2 linked regions of the Arabidopsis thaliana genome follow. The protein of the gene in region 1 interacts with the protein of each later gene in a biochemical or structural test. Each region holds a gene or a part of one and is shown on either strand. Other genes may lie near its edges.

Region 1 (10,855 bases):
TGGACTTTTAATACGAGTGTTTCGGCGTAGATCCACAAACATCAAGAGGGGCCTTACTTAACGCTAACAGTATTAGATTTTTGAAAGCATGTGACTTGATTTGTGGATTTAATTGCAACTGACCTGAAATGAAATGTGAGGAGCCACAGACTCTGTGATCGGATTTTAGAGATATTTCTCGATTCAAGTGTTTTAGATCCACATGATGTTTCCAATTATTTTGATTATAAATTTTTGTGGTGAGTTTGAGTTTGATGGTCATGAATAATAATGACATGTCATTATTTGGAGATGATACCATTAATATACTTGACTAACTGGATGTTGAGAGCTTGCCCGACAGTTTAAATTTGCTATAAAACACTAAAGACGAGCCATCGTTTTCATTTTGAAGTTCTGTTCGTTGTGTATTCATCATGGTTTAGCATGTTTCTCTACATGTATTGATGATGACTGAATTTAATTTTGATATTTTAGATATACTTTGTTTTCATTAAAGGGATAATGTTTATTGTCGTTTAAGTTTTTTTTTGTTCTTTCACACAAACTATAATTCTATGTCATTACTCAACTGAAAACTGAAAGTTTTGTGAAAAATCTATATTGAAATATAACACTGAAGTGGTATGAGATTAGATAATTCGAAACAAAACATTTGTCGAAAATAAAAGACAGCCAGCCATGTATAATATATATCCGCATCTTTCCTCGCGTGATGTGACGAGATTCCAATTCATCTGCCAAATGTTAGATAACTTAGTTATGTATACATATCAATGTATACACATATCAATGTCTTCCAAATCCATAGGAAAAGTTTCCAGTAGTAAAACTTAAAATCGTTTGTTCCTTAAGAGTGTATCACTTTGTGGGTGCATGTAAGGATGCGTAAAAGATGTATAAAATCTGCACTAGTGGAAAAAATCGAATCCTGTAACAGATTCAAAATTAGGAACAGATTTGCTTCTTTCACGTGGTAAATCTATATTTTGGTTTTTTTTTTTTTTTCTCAGAAAAGGAAGATCTTGGCTCAGCTCAAATCTCAATGTGCAATTATATATATCTAGTTTGCATTTGATCAAATGTAACCTGATATATATATTTCAAACCAAACTAAAAGGCAAAAAACTAAAACAGATTGGGAAAATTTGTTAGCGAATTAAATTGGACCTAAAGCCCGATATGTTCTAATTGGGCCGTAAGCCCAAAGTACAAATCTGTTCGGAGGCGGGAGCTTCCCATTTAACGGCCATTCCTCTCATATTTTCAAACTCTTCCACACATCTCCTCGAATCCAAACCACCGACTCGTTTCCTCGCAAGTGCGAGTTTTTCTCCAGCGGTTTCGTCAAAAATCTTCTCCCAACCTTTCTCCCATTCTCCATGTGCGTCGCACAGCTCCACCGTCTCGTTTTCCCACTCTGTCCAGCTCCACTCTTTATTCAGCTTTCCCATCACTTCTGCCACGCAAGAGCCGTTGCATGCGACCGTGCAAGGACGGCACTTGGCACCGTTTAACGGTCCACGGCTCGATAGTGCCGCCACTGGAACTCCGTATCTATATGGAGGGAAATCGTAGGTCCGATCAGTCATGATGCAGAAAGGGAGAGGTTTGGTGACGTAAGGAACACGTTGGGTTGTGAGCTGAGCCTTGAAAGCGGACTCGGAGTTCAGATGAGTTAACCCGGCTGAATCGAGGTCGGGAATGAGGGAGAGGCGAGAGAGAGCTACCGTCGAGGTGTTGAGATCTCCGACGCCGAAACGGTCGTTGAGACCACCATAAGAGGATCCAGGTGGAACTAGGTATTGACCCGGTATGAAGTATTCCGGGTCGAGCGGGTCAGCCCAGTAACCATCAACTCGGGTCCGGACTATCCAGTCGTATGTGAAGTTATTCTCGTTTTGGTATGCCTTTATCATCGTGATGCAACCTTCCACAAGGTTGAAGTACTGTAATAAGCCCTGTCATTGAGACCAATAAGAAAACACACATGAGAAAATAATGGATTAACAAAATAATAATAATAATATAACAGAAACAAATTACTCGATGTTAAAATGCTAGTTTTACTAGACTACTTATATTATCATGTTAAAATCACTTTTTCAAACATGAAATGTCAAAATGTTCTAAAATGTTATGAATAATATCAACTCAATAAACGTAAATTGATACTCAACAAAAGTTTATACCAATGTATATATATATTTATAATACTTAATGCCATACTGCGCATTAACCATTTACTTGATAAAAAATACACGAAAAAGCTTACGGATTCACATCATCACCACGCCACACATTAGCATCATCATGCCACGCATTAGCCATTTCGTAAAATTATTACCATAAATTAAAAAAATACAAGAAAAAACAGAATACCTTTTTCCATACAAACAATATACTATGTGAATTTACAAGCTGTCAGATTAATCAAGATCTTCTTTATCAGGAAACGTGGGTCCGGATAAGGTAAGGGGTCAATTTCAGTCTCGGACTAGTCGGCTACAAAATCTTGCGAGTTGCTAAACAATAGAAATTTCAAAGATAATCATAACTTCAATCTCAACCTAACAGTCTCATACTATTAACTATAGAACCCGAATCGAGAAAGAGGCAATAACTCATAGTATTAACAAATATAGTCAACAATTAATTGCTATCACACCCATATCTTAGAGACATCCGTTAATACCTTTAGAAGCGTCATTTTTGACCGCAATTTTGTTATAAAGTAACGAGGAAATAAAAAAGAATATCATATTGGATGGGATTGTGACAACATCAAATACCAAACCCATCATCAAACAAAAAATCCCTTCACATGAGTAACGTACGGATCAAGAAACGGTTACACCAACCCTAAACCTCTCCAACTAAACGGAGGTCCCCGCTCCTGATCACTTTCTTATCCTTAATTATATATTCCCGAATTTTATGCACTTAAAAATTTAATGTAATACTCCAACATTTAATTAATTGAAAGTTAGTGAAAAGAATTTATAAGGTAAGGAAGTTCAAAAGAGTCGATAAATTACCTTAATGCCATTGGGCGAATTCATAGGTGTGAGGACTCGAACCATCGGCTCAGTCTCATTGATTGGCTTAGGCTCAAAGATACGAACCCAAGCAAGTCTTGGTGCGTCCTTAAGTAACCGAAGTTTGAAAGAATTTTTGTCGAGAGGACTATTAAGAAACAAATCAGCATTAGGATAAACCCTCAAGATCTTCTCCATAATCGACGGTCCGGTTAACTCAAACCGCCTCGCTCCTCCTACCAAACACACCGCAATCTTCGACTTAACCAACTCCTCCCTCTTCCTCCGCCGTCGATTTTCCATCTCCTCCGCTTGGATAACGTCGTTAGGGTTCGAATCTGACAATTCGACGGTGAAATCGGTGACGGTTAGGGTATGAGTGTAGATTAGGTTACGAAGAGGGGCTAGAGTTGGAAAAGGATCAAGTGAGAGAGATGAGAAAGAGATTAAGACGAGGAGGGTGAGAGATGGGATTATGAGAAGGAGGAGAAGACGACGATCGACGTCGGAGATTCTCCTGGAAACGTACATAACGGCGGCGTAAGTGATCGTAACCCTAATCTGTGAGAATAACCACCACCGTGGATTGTTCACACACGTTTCATTTGCCGAGAGAGAGATTTTTGTATTTATAGAGTTTTGATTTTCTTCAAAACTTTTGAAGTGATTCGGAGAGGCGCTGGTTTGTTGGAGTGGAAGGTGAAATCAACATTACGCGTGGGTTTGGTTTTCGTTTTCTCTTTTCTTCTAGAGAGAGATATGAAATATCTATGTAGCTCTGTATAAAACCGATGCATAATTAATTAAAATATACGTATTTGATTACGTTTTCAAAAAGGAAATGATCAATGTTACTTTTGTTTTTTTCACGTTTCTTTGTTTGCTTAGTAAATAATTTATGAATGTTTGAAATACTTTGGTGAATAGTTTTAGTGCTCGATCGTTACAGTAATCAATTCGAATAAACTCTTCACTAAATATGCTCGTTACAGTCTTCACGTTTATTGTAACTGTTAGACCCCCACTCATTGTGTATTAGGGGATGTTGACAAGTATATTGAAGAGATTGATATCTTGAAAGGCGTACGTGGACTAGTAAAGAAATGGATAGTTTGGGTTGCAAGAAAAGTTTTACTTTTTGTATTCAACAAAAGGAAAAGAAAAGTATTTTTTGTTATCCAAGATATGACTTTATGTAGTATATTCATTTGAGAGCATTGTATTAATTAGAATGTTCACATATATCAATATATAATTATATATAGAATTTGCTCTTCAATTGTAAAGAAGAAATGAGGTTCCAAATTTGTTATTAGTGCTCTAAACATATATTTTTATTACCTTAGAAATTAATATATAATATTTCTTTCTTTGCTTTCCCATGACTTTTTACTGTTTTTGGTAACAAGATAATACTTTCCCTAGTATATAAGATTTTTAAAGCTTTTTTGTTGTTGTTCCCAATTAGTTTTTCTCTAGTTTCTAGTCATAATTTATATTAATTCCATAGTTTATGATTATTTAAATTATGCAGTATTTTTTATTGGTTAAATTTTTATTAATGATAAAACATGTGATTTTAGCCAAAACATCTAATAAAATGGGACATATGGAGTACTACAATAGTGATAGATCTTTTATTTACCTGTTTATTATATATGAATCTATTCAATTTTCATTTATTTACATGTTTATTTAAATTATTTATTTAATTTGCATCTAAAATTTGCAAAACTATTGTTGGGCCATGAGTGTCAACTGTCAAATGTCAACCATAGAAGCAAAAATAAAACAGTTTATGATTCAGTTTGTAAAAGTGGGCTTATTTAAATGAATATTGGCCCATTAGTATCATCTTCACGAAACCCAGCAAAATCAGAGAGCGGCAAATCGTTGAAGAGAGATCTTCTTCTTCCTGAATCCGTAACGTTAGCTCAGGCGTAAGAGCATAATGCAAGGAGGATCATCGGGTATTGGTTATGGTTTGAAGTATCAGGTAGTTCACGATCTTCTTCATGCCCGATCCTTTGTCAATTTACGAGCTTTCTTAATGGTGGAAAATTTGCTGTTTTCAGGCCAGATGTATATCGGATGTTAAAGCAGATAGAGATCACACTAGCTTCCTCACTGGAACCCTAAGCTTGAAAGAAGAAAATGAGGTGATTGATTCTTAAGATCTGTTTCGTTCTATTTCTGGATCGGAAGATTCTGACTTTGTTAAATTTTAAGGTTCATTTGCTTCGTTTGTCTTCTGGTGGATCTGAGCTGTTATGTGAGGGATTGTTCTCGCATCCTAATGAAATTTGGGACCTTGCTTCTTCCCCTTTTGATCAACGCATTTTCTCTACTGTCTTCTCCACTGGTAATTCTCATCATCTCGAAACTTCTAATTTTGAGTTGATTTGAAGTAAAAAAAATCGGACTTTTCCGATTGAATGCATAAAGTTTCAGAAATTGAAACTACAGTGTTGTCAGAGGAGAATTACAGTGTTGTTGTTTTCAATTTCAAGGCGACTCATATGGAGCAGCAATATGGCAGATTCCTGAGCCATATGGTCAATCGAATTCTTCAACATTGGAATGTGTTGCTTCCCTTGATGCACATGTTGGTAAGATTAATTGGTGAGTTCATTGTTTACAGTTTCAGCAGTCTATCTACTGGGTGTGCTTATAAGTGCGGTGGTTTAAAAAGTCTTAGAACTTGTAACTTTCTTATCTTCACTTTCATGAAGACTCTCTATACCTCTTGTGGAAACAGCGTTCTTTGGTGTCCCTCTGGAAATTCTGACAAGTTAATCAGCATGGATGAACAAAATCTTGTCTTCTGGAGTTTAGACTCTTCAAAGAAAAGTGCGGAGGTGATTGTTGCTACAACAAGAGAAAGGATAAACCCATTAAATCATTTTTGCCTCCTGTGTTTTTAGACCACCTTTGAGGTACTTTCCGCTTAATCATCTTTTTTGCTAATTATAGGTTTTATCTAAGGAGTCAGCTGGTATGCGTCATTCTTTATCTGGTGGAGCATGGAATCCACATGATGTGAATTCTGTTGCAGCAACTTCTGAATCATCTATCCAGTTTTGGGACTTACGTACTATGAAGTATGTCATATTTGTTCCTCTCTTATGTTCGCATGAAAGTTAATATACTGTATTCCTGCATGCACAGCTAGCGTGTTTCCTCTAGTCAATAGTTTGTCATTATTAATTTTTGGGTTCCAAAATCAGATACCTTTATGTTGAGCTTGATATGTTTGCATATTTACAGGAAGAATAATTCAATTGAACGTGCCCATGTACGTAATGTTGACTACAATCTCAAGAGAGAACATATACTCGTAAGATTTCTCTCTCTGTATGCAAATATTTTAAATGCTTGTCAAGCAATTCCAACAAAGAATTACACAGTGCTCCAAAGTTAGAAAACAATCTGTTATATAGATTGCAAATGGGTAGGAACAAGGAAGTAATTGTGTCATTTCTGATTTAATTTTTTCTTCATAGCAAGAACTTTTTATCTGAAAGGTAGTAGGTCCCCTATTTACAGAAATGGTATCAGATGGTTCTATTTATGCATTGGACTGTCGATTGTGTAGGTTTCTGCGGATGATGAATCTGGTATACATCTCTGGGATCTTCGGAAGACAAAGTTTCCTGTGCAAGAGCTCCCTGGTCATACACACTGGTAATTTACCTCTAAACTCATTTTTGTGGATTATTATTTTTTCTCTTCCATGATTCTGCTTCATATGCACACAAATCTAATGCTTTCGACCTGAAATTTTGTTTCTAGCGTGACTGTTCTTTCTGAATTTTCTTTACAGGACATGGGCTGTCAGGTGTAACCCTGAGTATGAAGAGCTAATTCTGGTACCCATTTTCTCTTACCTTTTTTCTCTTAGCACAGTCGAACGAATCTAAATTGTTATTGTGCTTGTCACTACTGACAGCTTTAAGCTGCTAGTCGATGATTCTAGAACAATTTCTGTCACTCACAATGTATATTTAAAGTGTCAGTTTCTGATAAATTAACCAAACACAGAGCGTTGGAACAGACTCAGCTGTCAACTTGTGGTTTGCTTCAGCATCTAGTGAGCATAAAACATCAGAAAGGTTAATTCTCTTTATTATCGCACACAACAATTTTTCCAACTTTGTTTTGAACTTTTATTCTAATGCCGATGCTGTGCAGCCCGGTGGAAGCATCACGTCAGCGTGTGAACCCGTTACTAAACTCTTATACTGACTACGAAGACAGTGTCTACGGTAACTCTTGGAACAAACTGAGTTTAGTTACCACAATTTCCCACTAAAACTGCATGAAGTCACTATATAATTGCTGTCACAGGCCTTGCTTGGAGCTCGCGTGAGCCTTGGATTTTTGCATCATTGTCATATGACGGTAGGGTAAGTGACTTTGCTTTTGACAACAACCTAAAGAACTATGGAGAACTAAGAAATAGACGATTTATTACCCCAAACAATTCTAAATTCTGAAAGCAGTTTGGAGAGTTCATCTCATAATTTTGGTGTTTGCTTATGTTAGGTTGTGATCGAATCCGTCAAGCCTTTCCTGCCAAGAAGATAGGTCCCGATGGAAGAAGGCTTCAAAGAAAAAGCTGCATTCATATGCTATCATTTAAGACAAATTTTGAATGTTTTTATAATAATCACAACATCAAAACTATTCTTCTACAGTTCTTCAACTTTTACTCGTGTCTTTGTTCATCTCTATCTCTCAGCACAAGGCACAAAGATGTAAAACCAAACCTCGTGAAAATACTTTGGTACAAAGTCAATGAACCTGCTGCTATAATTCAGTTTATTGTAAAGAAAATATTCGGATCAAGTAATCACCGGTGTCATAATGCTACACATGCCTACTTGTTTTCCCTTTTTCTATAGCTACTTTCTCTGGTAAAGCCACAATTCCGAGTACTAAAATATGACTGAAAAAAATTGATCTGTCCTCAGATCCTGATAAACAAAACAATGCTCTATCGCGTGGTTCTATGTACAGGAGACATTACATGCAAAATGGTGACAACAAGGCTTAGCACCAAGGTTGGAAAACTCACTGTGAAGTGCCCAAGCAGAGGACAGATTCAGTGTAGTGATGTGAAGGTCACTGATGCGTATCTAACTAATCTGATAGCATTGCTTCAAGCTCAGGCTCATCAGAGGTAGATGGATCATCGTAATCTAAACTTGTCCCGTTGTATAATCCTCTGTCCTGAAGATCACTCTGTTCTTCCTCATAGTCTGGCTCCGACCAATCTGGGTCATCCTCTTCGGTTTGATCATCATTGGTTACAGTTACTGCTGCGTCTTTATTAGTGGATTTGTTTTTCTTTCCAAGTTTTCTAGATTCTAATTGCGCCTTTGCCTTAGCCTCTGTATCTTCGCATATGCACGTGGATGGGTTTTCGTGAAATTCACCTCTACCAGCTCTTACTTCCTTTGGCTCTCCCATGAACCCTCTCTGAAACGAACGGACTTTAGATGAAAACTCCTCCCATGTCGTGTTCTCTTTGTTCATGAATAATCTGTAAAGCTTTTTTGCATTCGGCCTAACAGTGGGTTTATGTCCTAAGTATCTCCTGCAAATTTCATATAACCAAAAGCTTAAACCTTTGCAATTCCATCAAAGAAACAAACTGAAAAATGCTTAAACAAAGAGATGAGCCAAAAAAACATAGAAGAAGAAGAAGAAGATGTTTCAGTACCTCCTCCCAGCCAATATTTTTGCCATATTGCCATTGTTGTTGGTTACAAATACGTCGCTTTCATCACAAACAAGGAAGTCGAGTGCAGCCATTCTAGAAGAGTACGAAGAAAAAGGTTCTAACTCTTCCTTTGTAGCTATAGTGTCTTTTGAATAGAAGTGTGGAAAGAGTGCTTTCAAAGGAGCCAATGATTCTTCTCCTCCATATACTTCACCAGACGCGACATATATATGAACATCACTGCCATATCCCAAAGCTCTAAGCATCAGTCCGACTTCTTCTGGAGTGAGTGGACATCTTCCTTGTCGCCTCTGTTTCTCTGGGTTGTTAATCTGCAATAAAATTGCAAAATTAGTCATCGGTACCTTGTTAATATAGAGTACAATGAATCGCATGTAATTTCTGAAACATTATACAGAATAGGCATTACATGTAATGTTTTCCATCTCCTTCTAATTGCTGCAAGTTCTCTCCTTTCCTTATCACCACCACCATAATAGCATCCCGAGAATGCAAGCATATCAGGTTCATACCTGCAACACAATCAATATCACTTGCGTCAAACACTAGTATTTATAGAGATTCAAGAGGTAAATGTAAAATATCATAATTGTTGACTAGAATATCAAAAATGTGATGGAGTCACTAGAGGAACTCCAGGATAAACATATTTATGTATTTGATTCCACTCGTTTCACGATGCAATCTCCTCTATTAGATATGAGTACTGAGGTTTACCAAAAAGAAAAAGCTAAGAGCATTCACTACAGGATGGTTCAGCTGTGCTACATGTTAATTCTCCCCAGAATAATGCCCTTGTTCAGTGACGAAGTGAAAAAAATAAAAGAAATACTAGGATTTAGAGATGAGCGGTGGTGCTACCTTAAATGTAAAGCAATGAAGTGTTTGCTCCTCAATCTCATGCGCCGGACCAATTCATTACCCATTGTAAGTATAGGATCAGTGAACTTTAGAGCATGGTAATTTACTCTACATCTTAGCTTTTGCAAGTCATCACTCAACTTGTTTGAAAGTCTATAGTCAAATTTGTTCAGTTGAACTGCCTGAAGCATAATACAGACAAAAGTGATATAAGAATAAATCGAGATGCTTAATCCAAAAGACAACCACTGCTTCAAGTTCATGTTTCGAAGCAAACATCAATATTGTAGCAATCAACGAAATGGGCATGCCAAAAAAAAGAATAGTACCAAAGACTTGTGAAAACAATTAAATGGTTAGACTTGTGAAGACAATTATTTGGACCACCCTAAGCAAATAGTCAATACAGACAACAAACAATTTGCTTAGACATATTTTAAATGCAATAAGTAAAAAGTTTCAGCGAAAGAAGGAAACTTACATGCCTTTTGAGAAGAACAGGTAAAACACGGTTAATATAGCATCTCTCGTTACATTTCCGTGGTACACGCATTCTACTTGTACTCCATGTACGCCCTCCTTTCAGTGGAAGTTGCTTTATAATTCTGACGTCTCCAGACAGAAATGAGATAAACCAATCAACATCGAAAATATGCGAGAAGTCACTGCACAAAAATTCACAAAGTTACAAAGATGCATAACGTTTCTCATAAGAAAAAGCTAAGTATGCTTAATCTGTCTCAGACCTGGCATCCTTCCAGTAAGACTTCTGGTCTAACTTGGGAACAACAAGAGTAGCATTTAGAATCCTTGCCGCAACAACTGCATCTACAATCTGTAGAAGGATTAGACCCATCAGCTGATTAATAGTAAACAAATGCTTGTATTTTGATAATCCATGAAGATAGGTATTAACAAGAGAAGTCAAACAAAACTCACTCCAGTTCGTTGTTGGTTCAAACCACCACTAGTGGCTATTACCAAGTATCGATCATTTCTCGTCACTGCTTTCGAATCTGCAAACAAGTAATCGGATTTTGTATGACTTGATAATCAGTGCCTTGATTCCATACTAATCGAAAGTTTCATACTTTTCGTAAGATCAGTGTTACTAACTAATGGAATATGATTAAGAGTGTTACGCACTTGCGAATTTGCTGCTTGCATTGCTGCATCCAAAAAAGAATTCAGCATTTCGTGAACGCCAGAT
Region 2 (10,699 bases), on another chromosome or scaffold:
ATCATTTTGGTCCTTTTTATAGTATGGCTCTTGACCATTGTCCAATTTTTTTAAGCGATGTGGAACATTCTAAAATCGTAATTATTATCCACCCAAACCCGTCCTACCATATAACCCAGTCCCGTAAAATTAAACATAATTTTGTCATTTTCTTATAAATTTCAATATTATAAAATTTGAAACTTAAAAAAATACAATATCGACCCAAAATTCATCATTGAATTTTGATTGTTATATTTAAGATTTTTCCTGTAATATATCGTCTCGTATTAATATATTTTTTATATATTTATAATATTTAAATTTCTTGTAAAATTCAATTTATAATTTTAAAAACTTATACTTTAAAACTTTATAAGTTTTAAAATTATAAATATTTCAAGCATTTTTTAAAGATAAACTTTATAAAAAGATTTTAAAATTATAATATTTAACTTTTGATAAAGTTATAATATTTATAATTTCTTGAAATATTTTAAAGTTTCAATTCTTTAAAATAAAAAATCCGAGTAAAATCGGATAACTATTTTAATTTTGGACGCCTGATAAATCAAGCTTTCTGCTCATTCGTAATCAGAATCATTTTGGTCCTTTTATAATATGGGTCTGAACCATTGTCCAATTTTTCTAAGCGATGTGGGACATTGTACATATATTATTTCTTCATAGGTTGAATAATATATGTCCGTTTTAAAAAATTTAAATTACATCATATTCAGAAAAATATAATATTTTATTAACTATATATATTTTATATAAATTCAAAATAAATAAAGTATAAGATCAAATAAAAATGAAAGAAGATTTATATATTTATGTTTAAATTAGGTAGAAATATTTTAGGAAATTAGTTAAGGTAAATAAAAAATATGGTTAGTTTAGAGATATTGTTTATATTAAATTTGGTAAGTAAATCATTAATTTTCGTTTTTAATTATTAGGTTTTAGGTAACTTTTCCAAAAATTAATGTTATCCAAGATCAGAACAGAATTAAACATGTTATCCAGGATCCGAACAGAGTTAAACCGGGTAAAACCCACCCATTTGAATTAATTGTTGAATTATGGTTCAAATCTTCAACATTATCTTCAAAAATCCCCTCCAAAAATGTATATATAGATTAAGAAAGTTGTGCTTCATGAGTAAAAACATAGAATTTCATATCTTAATATTAAGATATATTTGTTAGAATTAGAGAATTTATAATAACTAAACTATTTGAATAATTTTTTTTTTGAATAGAATTTAAAAGCTTACAACCCAATAACAATGTATTTTACTAAAACTTTAAAAGAATCCATGAATTATTGACAATAAAATCTGAAAATTAGAAAAATTCATCTACCAATAACCACTCTAAAACATTTGTCAAACATAAAACACATTGGGTCATTATTTACTGACCATAAAAACAATACAATAAAATTCTAAAAGTGCAATGTTTACTTAAAACTTTTAATTTGGGCTTTTACCAAATACTTCCAAGTTCCAAGAACCAATCACAAAGCATATTATTCACCGTCAAGCTCAATCAGAGAAAGATCAAAGCTTAAAACTTTTTTTCCGGAAAAGTTAAAGAGAGAAAAAAGAATCAATCTTTTTGCTTGACGATTGTTACTCTCAGTGGAAAGGTCTAGTCCCCATTCTCATTTTTTTTTGTTAAAAATCGTATCTTTGGCTTTATTTTTGGTTATCTCGTAGATTTTGCGTGAAAAGCTTTGAACTTTATGATGTTTTGATTGACCTCCATTTAGGAAAATGTAAATATCTTCAATTTCTGGGGTTTAAGTGAGATTTTACGAGTGTTCAAGTTAAGGGTTTGAATTTGGGTGAAAACACCTGGTAAGCCATTTCATTGTTTCTCAGGACGATGAATCTGTTGGCCTTCGTCGTTGGATTTGGAATCATGGGTATTGTTATGGTAGATGGGCTAGGTGTCAACTGGGGAACAATGGCTACACATAAGCTTCCACCAAAGAAAGTGGTTCAAATGCTTAAGGACAATAACATTAACAAAGTTAAGCTTTTTGATGCGGATGAGACCACTATGAGTGCACTTTCTGGCTCTGGTCTTGAAGTTATGGTTGCTATTCCTAATGATCAGCTTAAGGTTATGGGAAGTTATGACCGAGCTAAAGATTGGGTTCATAAGAATGTCACTCGTTATAACTTCAATGGTGGTGTCAATATCACGTTAGTGAGTTTCTCCCTCTGCTTGTTATATATTGGTTCTAATGTGTTCGGTTGTGAAATCAATTCTCTGAAAATGTTAATCTGGTAAGAACATTGTCAAAATGTTTATATGTCTAATCTCTTGTGGATGTGTTTTCAGGTTTGTAGCTGTTGGAAATGAGCCATTCCTCAAATCATACAATGGATCATTTATAAACCTCACATTCCCTGCACTTCAAAACATCCAAAACGCTTTGAATGAAGCTGGACTAGGAAGCTCCGTCAAAGCGACAGTCCCTTTAAACGCGGATGTCTACGATTCACCATCAAGCAACCCTGTGCCATCTGCAGGAAGATTCCGTCCTGATATCATCGGTCAAATGACTCAGATTGTTGACTTTCTTGGCAATAACAGTGCACCCATCACCATTAACATCTACCCTTTCTTAAGCCTCTATGGGAATGATGATTTTCCACTCAATTACGCCTTCTTTGATGGTGCTAAACCAGTAGATGACAATGGTATTGCTTACACAAACGTTTTCGATGCCAATTTCGACACTTTGGTATCGGCTTTGAAAGCTGTTGGTCATGGAGATATGCCAATCATCGTTGGAGAAGTCGGTTGGCCAACAGAGGGTGACAAACACGCAAATAGTGGTAAGACATCTAACATTTTCCAGTTCTTTAGATGCAATGAAATGTTTTGAAAACGTATTTTTCGCAGGCAGTGCTTACAGATTCTACAACGGTCTTTTACCAAGGCTTGGGGAAAACAGAGGCACTCCACTGAGACCAACCTACATTGAGGTATACTTGTTTGGATTACTTGATGAGGATGCGAAAAGTATAGCACCGGGAGAGTTTGAACGCCACTGGGGAATATTCAAATTCGACGGGCAACCAAAGTTTCCTATAGATCTATCAGGTCAAGGACAGAACAAGTTGTTGATTGGTGCCGAGAACGTGACGTATCAACCTAAGAAGTGGTGTATGTTTAATACAGAAGCCAAAGATTTGACAAAACTCGCTGCTAACATAGATTACGCCTGCACTTTTTCGGATTGCACTGCGCTTGGTTACGGGTCTTCTTGCAATACTCTTGATGCAAATGGGAACGCTTCATATGCGTTTAACATGTATTTTCAAGTAAAGAACCAGGATGAGGATGCTTGTATCTTCCAAGGTTTGGCCACCATTACCACAAAGAATATATCTCAGGGACAATGCAATTTCCCTATTCAGATTGTTGCTTCCACAGCTTCTTCATTTTCTTCTTCTTTGGTTTTGTTGATCGCTGGAGTTTGGTTTCTCTTATCAGGAGTGATGTTTGAGGTTTAGATTAGTGATGTTTTTGAGGACTTATTTTTGTGGATATGGAAACTATATGTTTTGTCCATGTATTAAATTGCATAATATGGTAAAATTTTACTTGGAAGAGTGAGAATCATTTAGTTATGGATCCAAATATTTGATCAATGGTGGTCATAAGAAAACAGGACTCGCAAAAAATTGAAACTCTAACGGCAGTTAATGTACGTGATCAGACTAAACCGGTCCAATGTCATTTTAATGGTTCAAATTTGATAGCAACTACGGAACCACAAACCAATTACACTTAACCAAACAACTAATTGGTCTTTAGTCAGGAGCAAGATCCTAAGAAAAACAAAGAAAAGGTTTCTTAACCTCTGCAATAATCTGACTGACACATTTCGGTACCTCTTTAGGGTATCGAGCCAAATCAAGAAACTGTAAGGAGTTTTACAATGAACTGCTACGAAATGTGCAGAGATGGCTTCCAAATTGAGAGATGACATCAACAATACCTCCATAACCTCCCACAGCAACTACCTGCAAATACAAAAGAATTGGATCAACGGTTAAACATTGAGTTTCTAGTCCAGAAGGGGTAACATATTTGCAGAATATTAGCAGTAACATAGGAAATGGGAGAAAAGCAAACACATATATAGGAAATGGGGAGAAAAGAAGGGATTGGAAACATACTCCTGCTGGATGCAAGGAAATGGAAAATACTGAACAAGGAGCACAGTGAATTTGAGAAAGCAAAGCTCCATTTAAGTCGAAACGTCTTAGAAGTGGTTCTGCTCCTACAGTCAAAATCTGATAGTGCGATACTTGTTAAAGACAACATTTTTAAAAAGATGTTTAAACTTTAGCACAGGAATTAAAACTAGGTGTTGACCTCTGTTTCTAGTTTAGAAAAGTCAGTAATTTTTTTAATAAACTTCGTTGAAGAGGGATGATTCAAAGAGATACTACATAAACCTATTAAGCCTTGATAAACAAATAACACCCACGGCCTCCCAAGGCTTTAAATTACACTGCTTAAATTTCAATCTAATCTTGTTCTGCTTACTTGCTTTTCATCAAACATCACATCCTGTACATGTGCAGGGATGGGTATTGTTTGTACGCATTCTGAGGCGGGAAGATTCCATAAAGCTAAATTTTTGCCCTGTCCACAAACCTGAAAGAGGAGAAAATCATACCAATAACAGTAAATACATGTTCAGTATTTAAACTTCTAAGTGATTCTTCAGGAGAAAGGAACTATATTCTTAGGTTACTGGAGGCAACAATCCCTTCAAACAAATAGCAGGTTGCGAAAATGTTAGATTATCTAGTTGCTTAGTTCTTACCAACCAGCTTTCACTCCCATCAAGGGCCATAGAACTAACGCGAAGGCGGGACTTTTTATCCTGGGAACCAATTACTTTAACACATTTTCCCGTTTTGCAATCTGGTTGACAAAACAGAAAGAAGCCCTTGAGCGAACAAAGCTTAGTCTAGACAACTAAAGTAAACCACATGAACCAAAACATAACATAGTGGAAAGTTCTGTAATCACCAAAATGAATCATCATAGAGTTGTAAGAAGCAGCCAACAAAACTGAGGAGCATTGGATCTTAAGTACCAACATGAAGACTCAAATGATTTCAAAAGTTCTATAACCACGTATGACCTAATACTAGAAATTACAGCATAAAGAAATATGGTCGGGAGCATGTTACCCCAGATTCTCGCAGTCCCATCCTCTGAACCCGTCAATATCTGGAGAAAGAGACTACAATCAGACAAAAATCCAAATGTGGAACTCAGATTTGGATAGGTGCATTTCTAATATTTATGGTAACATCATTACCTGACTTGCAGAACTACGAGAAACTACAGTATGCAAATAGTCTGAATGACCTTTAAAGGTCATTTTAATCTTACCACTCTCCTGAAATTGTTGGATACACATAAATGATTTTAGAAAGTTAAGATATCTGGATTCACATAGGACATACATCTATCATGGTCAAATACATACCACGTCCCAACAATATGCGCAAGAATCACCAGCTGCTGTAAATACACTTCCTGACTATCAAAACGAAAGAAGTGAGAGAGGGTGAAACAGTTATCCTGTGAGACTGTCTAACCAAGCAATGAAATTTAAATACAATTCCAACCTGAGGATCAACAGACATGGCATTGATCTCAGGCATCGGTGAAAGCGCACCCCAAGGACCTCTATAAGAAAAAGAATGGTGATTATACACACAACTATTACGAACACTGACATTTGAACCCACAATTATAGCATTTTCAGTAACAGAGTTATCAAGTAGAATAAAAAATGAACAAAACTCATACTCACTTGTGTTGTGGATTAATCAGTTCAAGCAATGGCTTCAGATGATTCTCTGTAGATCATAAGAAAAACAACCACTAAGCTCCAAAAAGCATCATTCATATCAAAAACCACAAAAATGGCACACACACACCTTTCAAATGAAGAGACACATCTGATTCAGCAAATTCTCTCCATTTCCATCCCCTAACTCTACCATCATCACCACAACTACACATAACCAGATCAAAATTTCAAACTCTCAATTACAATTCATCAAAGACTCATCAATCAACAAAGAGAGATTTAAGTCTCTACCTAAGTAGCAAAGCATCTTCGTCTTCACCATAGAACTTAACATCATAAGCAGGACCTTCGTGTGCCCTAACCACTCTCTCAGGTTCAGCCACCATAACATCTTGACCTTTCGAGTAGCCAAAACTCGCCGATTGAGACACAAGCGAGTTCAGTGAATGGAAAGCTAAAGTTCCATCGCTGGAGGCTACAACAAATGCGTCTGGATTAGAGATTCTCGCCGGAGGAGCCCAGGCGGTTCTGAAGACGGTGCGTGTCTCTATCTCTCGCTCCTTCAAAATTGATTCTCTATACTCATCTTCATTCCAGTTTGTAGCGTCTCCGTACATGGTCCTCTGCTTCTTTGCAATTCCCGGTGATACTTGCGAAACGCCAGCGATATTACCACCAGTGGTTTAGTGCAATTGACGACTGAGAGAAAGCAATCCCTAAACCGGCCGATTTAGTAATTCTGTTAATTATATTTTACTAGCTTGTTTTTTTTTTGTCGATCAAATTACTAGCTTGCTTAAATAGACGAATTGAAGAAATAAATTTAATTTTGTATCGATAATATTTGAATTCTAAATAGTAATATATACATATTTTGTAATATTTAATTTAGTAATTTTATTTAAAAACAAAATTTTAATTTTATACATTTCATTTTAATAGAAAAATAGGTAAAAAAACTCTCACATTTTTTAAAAACATGAAAAAAAATCTTACCTTTTTAAAAATAGTAAATTAACACCTAGGATATCTTATTCAAACTAACATATCCTATGTTATTCAATTATGAATTTTTAAAAGTATCATGAAATCTAATGCTATTGAATTACTGATTTTAAAATCTCCTTAAAAATCTTCTGTTATTGAAAACATTTTAAAGATTGGATTTTAGTGACTTTAAGAGACTTAAGTGGATTTTCTTAGTTAAAAATATATAATTTTAAATCTCATGGTTTTAGGTGGAATTTGAGAGGATTTTACCATAAATCATAACAACCTCCTTAAATTCATCCAAATTCTTTAAAAAATCAAAATTATATAAAAACTCAAATAACTTAAAATATAAGATCGAATACACCTCCTTAGATTCTAGTGTTATTCAATTTTTGATGATTTTAATGCAAGTGTTATTCATTTTTCTGTCAAAACCAACATTTCATTCAAATCACCAAACCGAAAGTATCAAAGGATAAACCTCCAATGTAATTGAAAAACTCAATTAATTTTGAATGCAGTATGAGTAGAGAATTTCACTTCCTCCGCGGAGATCTGTCTATTCGTTTTAGAGATTCCATAGAATTCAAGATTCAGATGCTCTATTTCGTGTTTAATGTTAATAGCACAATATGATGAAGACAAATCAATTCAAAATTTTTTGTTCCACTTCTTTTGGTCTTCCGTCTCTTCAAATTTTGACCCATATATCTCCTCATCTATATCTACCAAGAAAAAATCATAAAGAAGACTCTGTGCGTTTTTGTTACAATTAAAATCTCCACCTTTCTTTTTGGCACTTCCAGCTTTCATAAATCTCACATCTAGGGCTACATAAATCTCATTCGCAAATACTGATTCGGAAAAAAAATTGAATTCATCCAAAACAAATGAAGCCGTCCTAGACCATCTGTAAGCATCAACTTCTTAGTACTATTCACTAGAGCATATTTGTCCTCACCCAAACATAAGTTTGCCAACTTCTCGGAGATAAAAACTGACATGCATCGTTTGCAACTCATCTCGAAAAGAATCTGGTAGATTAATCAACATGAGAGATTTTTTCGGTAGTGGTATTATGTAACCGCCATCATCAAAACCCAAGCTGGTAAGTACGTCTTCATCAGAAAATTCAGGGTCCATTAATTGTTCCTTTGTTGGTTTAGGTTTCTTATTCTTTGCTGGTGCGATCTTTGGACGATAAACATTTATTCTAATACGTTTTTTACCTCGACTTTTCTTCGTCATACCAGTATTCCAAACTGTGAAGTACATAATGGCTGTTAAAAGCTAGAAAAATTGCAGTATAGGTAATGACTAATGGACCATGTAGTTTATGGTCGGCTGATTGATGAATACACATGTAAATTTTGGTATGATTGAATAAACGTTGACGTTTCTAGAAACGTATTTAGGGGGACCGCTTATGTAGTGCTTGCGTGAGACACAAACACATATGAACAAGGGAATGTGGAAGGAGAATCAAATCAAATCAAATGCCAAAACAATATTAAAAACGTATTTCGAAGATGTTCATAATTCGTTGTCCTTGCATCTTTTGTCTTTATTTAATTAACTCCAAAACCTTTAGTAATATTCGCTTTTACTTCCATTTTAATATCAATTCCTCTAGCTTACGTTTCGGTTTTACATTCGCCCTTACAAAGATTACTTTTTATTCCTTTGGTTTTTGATTGGAGGATCAATGAATGTTCTAGCTAGAGATCTTAAGTTTGGGAATCTTTCACATAGATCTAGACCTATGTTATGTATACTTAATTGTTCAAGTGGTCGTTTACGCATGCAATGACCAAACAAATAGTTTATTTCGTTTTAAGTGGGATCTCTCACTCTCAAAATTTTGTTAAGAGTCCAATTTTATTGGTTTGTACGTATATTATAGACATGTGTTATGTATATATAATTGAAAAGAGAGAATCTTGTTGCTCAAATTGACAGGAAATAAGAGTTTAATCCGGCGGAATCTTTCTATAAATTAAACGTAGCTAGTGGTCAGTGGATGATGATGATGAAATCTATGCATGCATCATCATATATAGACCCTAGCAATCCTTATATATAGACCCTAAAATCAGACAAACTGTTTCATATCATATCATCATATCATATAGTAATTTTAGGGACCGAGGCTAATATAACATCAAAATCATATGCATGCAAGAAGATGAAGCAAGTCAACTAAAGGAGGTAAGGGAATAGCAATAACGAAGGCGACAGAAGAGAGTGAGCACACATGGCTCTTTTTCTAGCATGCTCATGCTCGAAAGCTCTGCGTGCTTACTCTCTTCTTGTCTCCTGCTCTCTCCCTCTCTACGTCTATTTATCTATCTATCTATGGACTATGTGTATATAAATTAAATATATTTTATATCCACATATATATATATATATGCATCATGCATGCATGGCAGCAAACGTCTCTGTGTATGGTTAGATAGATATGACCATATCTTGTCTATCCACCTTTTGTTTTCACTAATGTTTTACCTAACGACACACAAATATCATTTTCAATCTTTACAGTAAAATAGCGTAAGTCGCCATATCCGTTGTAAATTGCCAAATAGCCGTTGTAAAGCTCAGAGTCGTACGTTTTTTCTATCAAATTACAAACACTAATCACATCAATATATATAACATAATAAAGGCTACAAAATGATCTAATTTTTGTACAAATGATGAGCTTTGAGTTACAAAGAGGAGCAAGGCACTTTAACAAAGAAAAAAATTAAGGAGCAAGACATAAGGAAGGTTTATCATCATGAGAATGAGAAGATTTCACGCATGATCGCAAAGGAACAAAGCGTGCGTATCAAGTTGCGGATAAGGGTTTGATGCCGGTCATCGGATGACCTTTAGTATTTTAAAGAGCTACATAGAAGAATTGAGAAATAGTTACTGATTTTTCGTCCTAGCAAATCTTGTTGTGGACAGAAATATATTCTTAAGTAAAAAAGTACTTTTCTTTCTCCCTTTATCTATGTTTTATCTATTTTTGTTCTTTTACCATTTCCATTATATTTATGTATCTATATTTTTTTTGTCCCCCACATTTATGCATATATCTAAAATCTACCAATAACAGTACTGTTTGAATTACTTGGTACCTTTTCATGCATGATCCATCGTCTAAGTAGCAAAAATAACAATGAACAACTGTTATCAATTAAAGCTGTTTTCTTTTTATGAACAAAAAAAATAAAAATCTAGCTCTATTATATATTTGGCTAGAAATAGAAATATATGTATGAATTGATCAATAAATCTTTAAGAAATCAATAATGACTAATATATTAGATGATTCATGAACTACTTGTCCAGAATCAGAAACTAAGTGATGGTGGTTATTTCTTTTCTTTTTTCCCTTTTTTCGTGTGTGGTATATGTGTTTTTCGTTTGATGTTATGATATTTTATGTAGTGTGTACATAATTTTGGACCTAGAATTCACATGACGTCTACATGATGCTCTAAACTTTCTATATGTAGGCTTCGCTCCAATTAAATATAAATTGTATACTAATAAACACCCAAAAACAGCTTGGGCTAAAATAAAAAAATATGATATCGTTTTCTTGACATCAAATTAAAAGTTTTGTTTGATTTGTTTCCGTTTACATTTGCATATTTAATGTTTTAAGAAATACAAAAAAATTCCGAAAGTATTATGTATATATAGCTTAGATCTACATATATGGAACAATTAACCAAAGATGGACCTCTAGCCAATATTGATCGTCTTCTATCATTTACACGTAGTGAGAGTATATATGTATTAATGTATGCTGTATTAGAATGTGTTAATAATTCTATGTAGTTAAAAAAAAAAAAGAAGTTATTTC

The links.
Region 2: the proteins of DWA2 (region 1) and DWA1 form a complex in vitro, tested with the Arabidopsis thaliana proteins (one study listed by BioGRID).

Annotation. Positions count from the first base shown.
Region 1 is NC_003070.9:28,605,374-28,616,228, forward strand, and holds DWA2 (DWD (DDB1-binding WD40 protein) hypersensitive to ABA 2), read left to right. Parts: upstream 1-4,819; 5' UTR 4,820-4,989; coding exon 4,990-5,034; intron 5,035-5,113; coding exon 5,114-5,197; intron 5,198-5,267; coding exon 5,268-5,400; intron 5,401-5,548; coding exon 5,549-5,660; intron 5,661-5,796; coding exon 5,797-5,896; intron 5,897-6,011; coding exon 6,012-6,139; intron 6,140-6,305; coding exon 6,306-6,375; intron 6,376-6,633; coding exon 6,634-6,722; intron 6,723-6,861; coding exon 6,862-6,907; intron 6,908-7,079; coding exon 7,080-7,150; intron 7,151-7,229; coding exon 7,230-7,303; intron 7,304-7,385; coding exon 7,386-7,444; intron 7,445-7,583; coding exon 7,584-7,625; 3' UTR 7,626-7,890; downstream 7,891-10,855. Other genes in the region: AT1G76250 (uncharacterized protein), read right to left, coding at 1,188-1,961, 3,039-3,569; AT1G76270 (O-fucosyltransferase family protein), read right to left, coding at 8,181-8,637, 8,764-9,095, 9,194-9,296, 9,646-9,827, 10,127-10,310, 10,392-10,480, 10,585-10,661, 10,792-10,855. UniProt on the Arabidopsis thaliana protein: Component of the CUL4-RBX1-DDB1-DWA1/DWA2 E3 ubiquitin-protein ligase complex that acts as a negative regulator in abscisic acid (ABA) signaling. May function as the substrate recognition module within this complex leading to ABI5 degradation.
Region 2 is NC_003071.7:8,410,979-8,421,677, reverse strand, and holds DWA1 (DWD (DDB1-binding WD40 protein) hypersensitive to ABA 1), read right to left. Parts: upstream 6,633-10,699; 5' UTR 6,462-6,632; coding exon 6,136-6,461; intron 6,049-6,135; coding exon 5,972-6,048; intron 5,891-5,971; coding exon 5,845-5,890; intron 5,718-5,844; coding exon 5,657-5,717; intron 5,569-5,656; coding exon 5,515-5,568; intron 5,425-5,514; coding exon 5,344-5,424; intron 5,253-5,343; coding exon 5,213-5,252; intron 4,941-5,212; coding exon 4,840-4,940; intron 4,668-4,839; coding exon 4,557-4,667; intron 4,301-4,556; coding exon 4,184-4,300; intron 4,028-4,183; coding exon 3,938-4,027; 3' UTR 3,684-3,937; downstream 1-3,683. Other genes in the region: AT2G19440 (O-Glycosyl hydrolases family 17 protein), read left to right, coding at 1,872-2,194, 2,334-2,833, 2,901-3,514; AT2G19420 (uncharacterized protein), read right to left, coding at 7,795-8,099, 9,346-9,456, 9,959-9,977. UniProt on the Arabidopsis thaliana protein: Acts as a component of the THO subcomplex of the TREX complex which is thought to couple mRNA transcription, processing and nuclear export.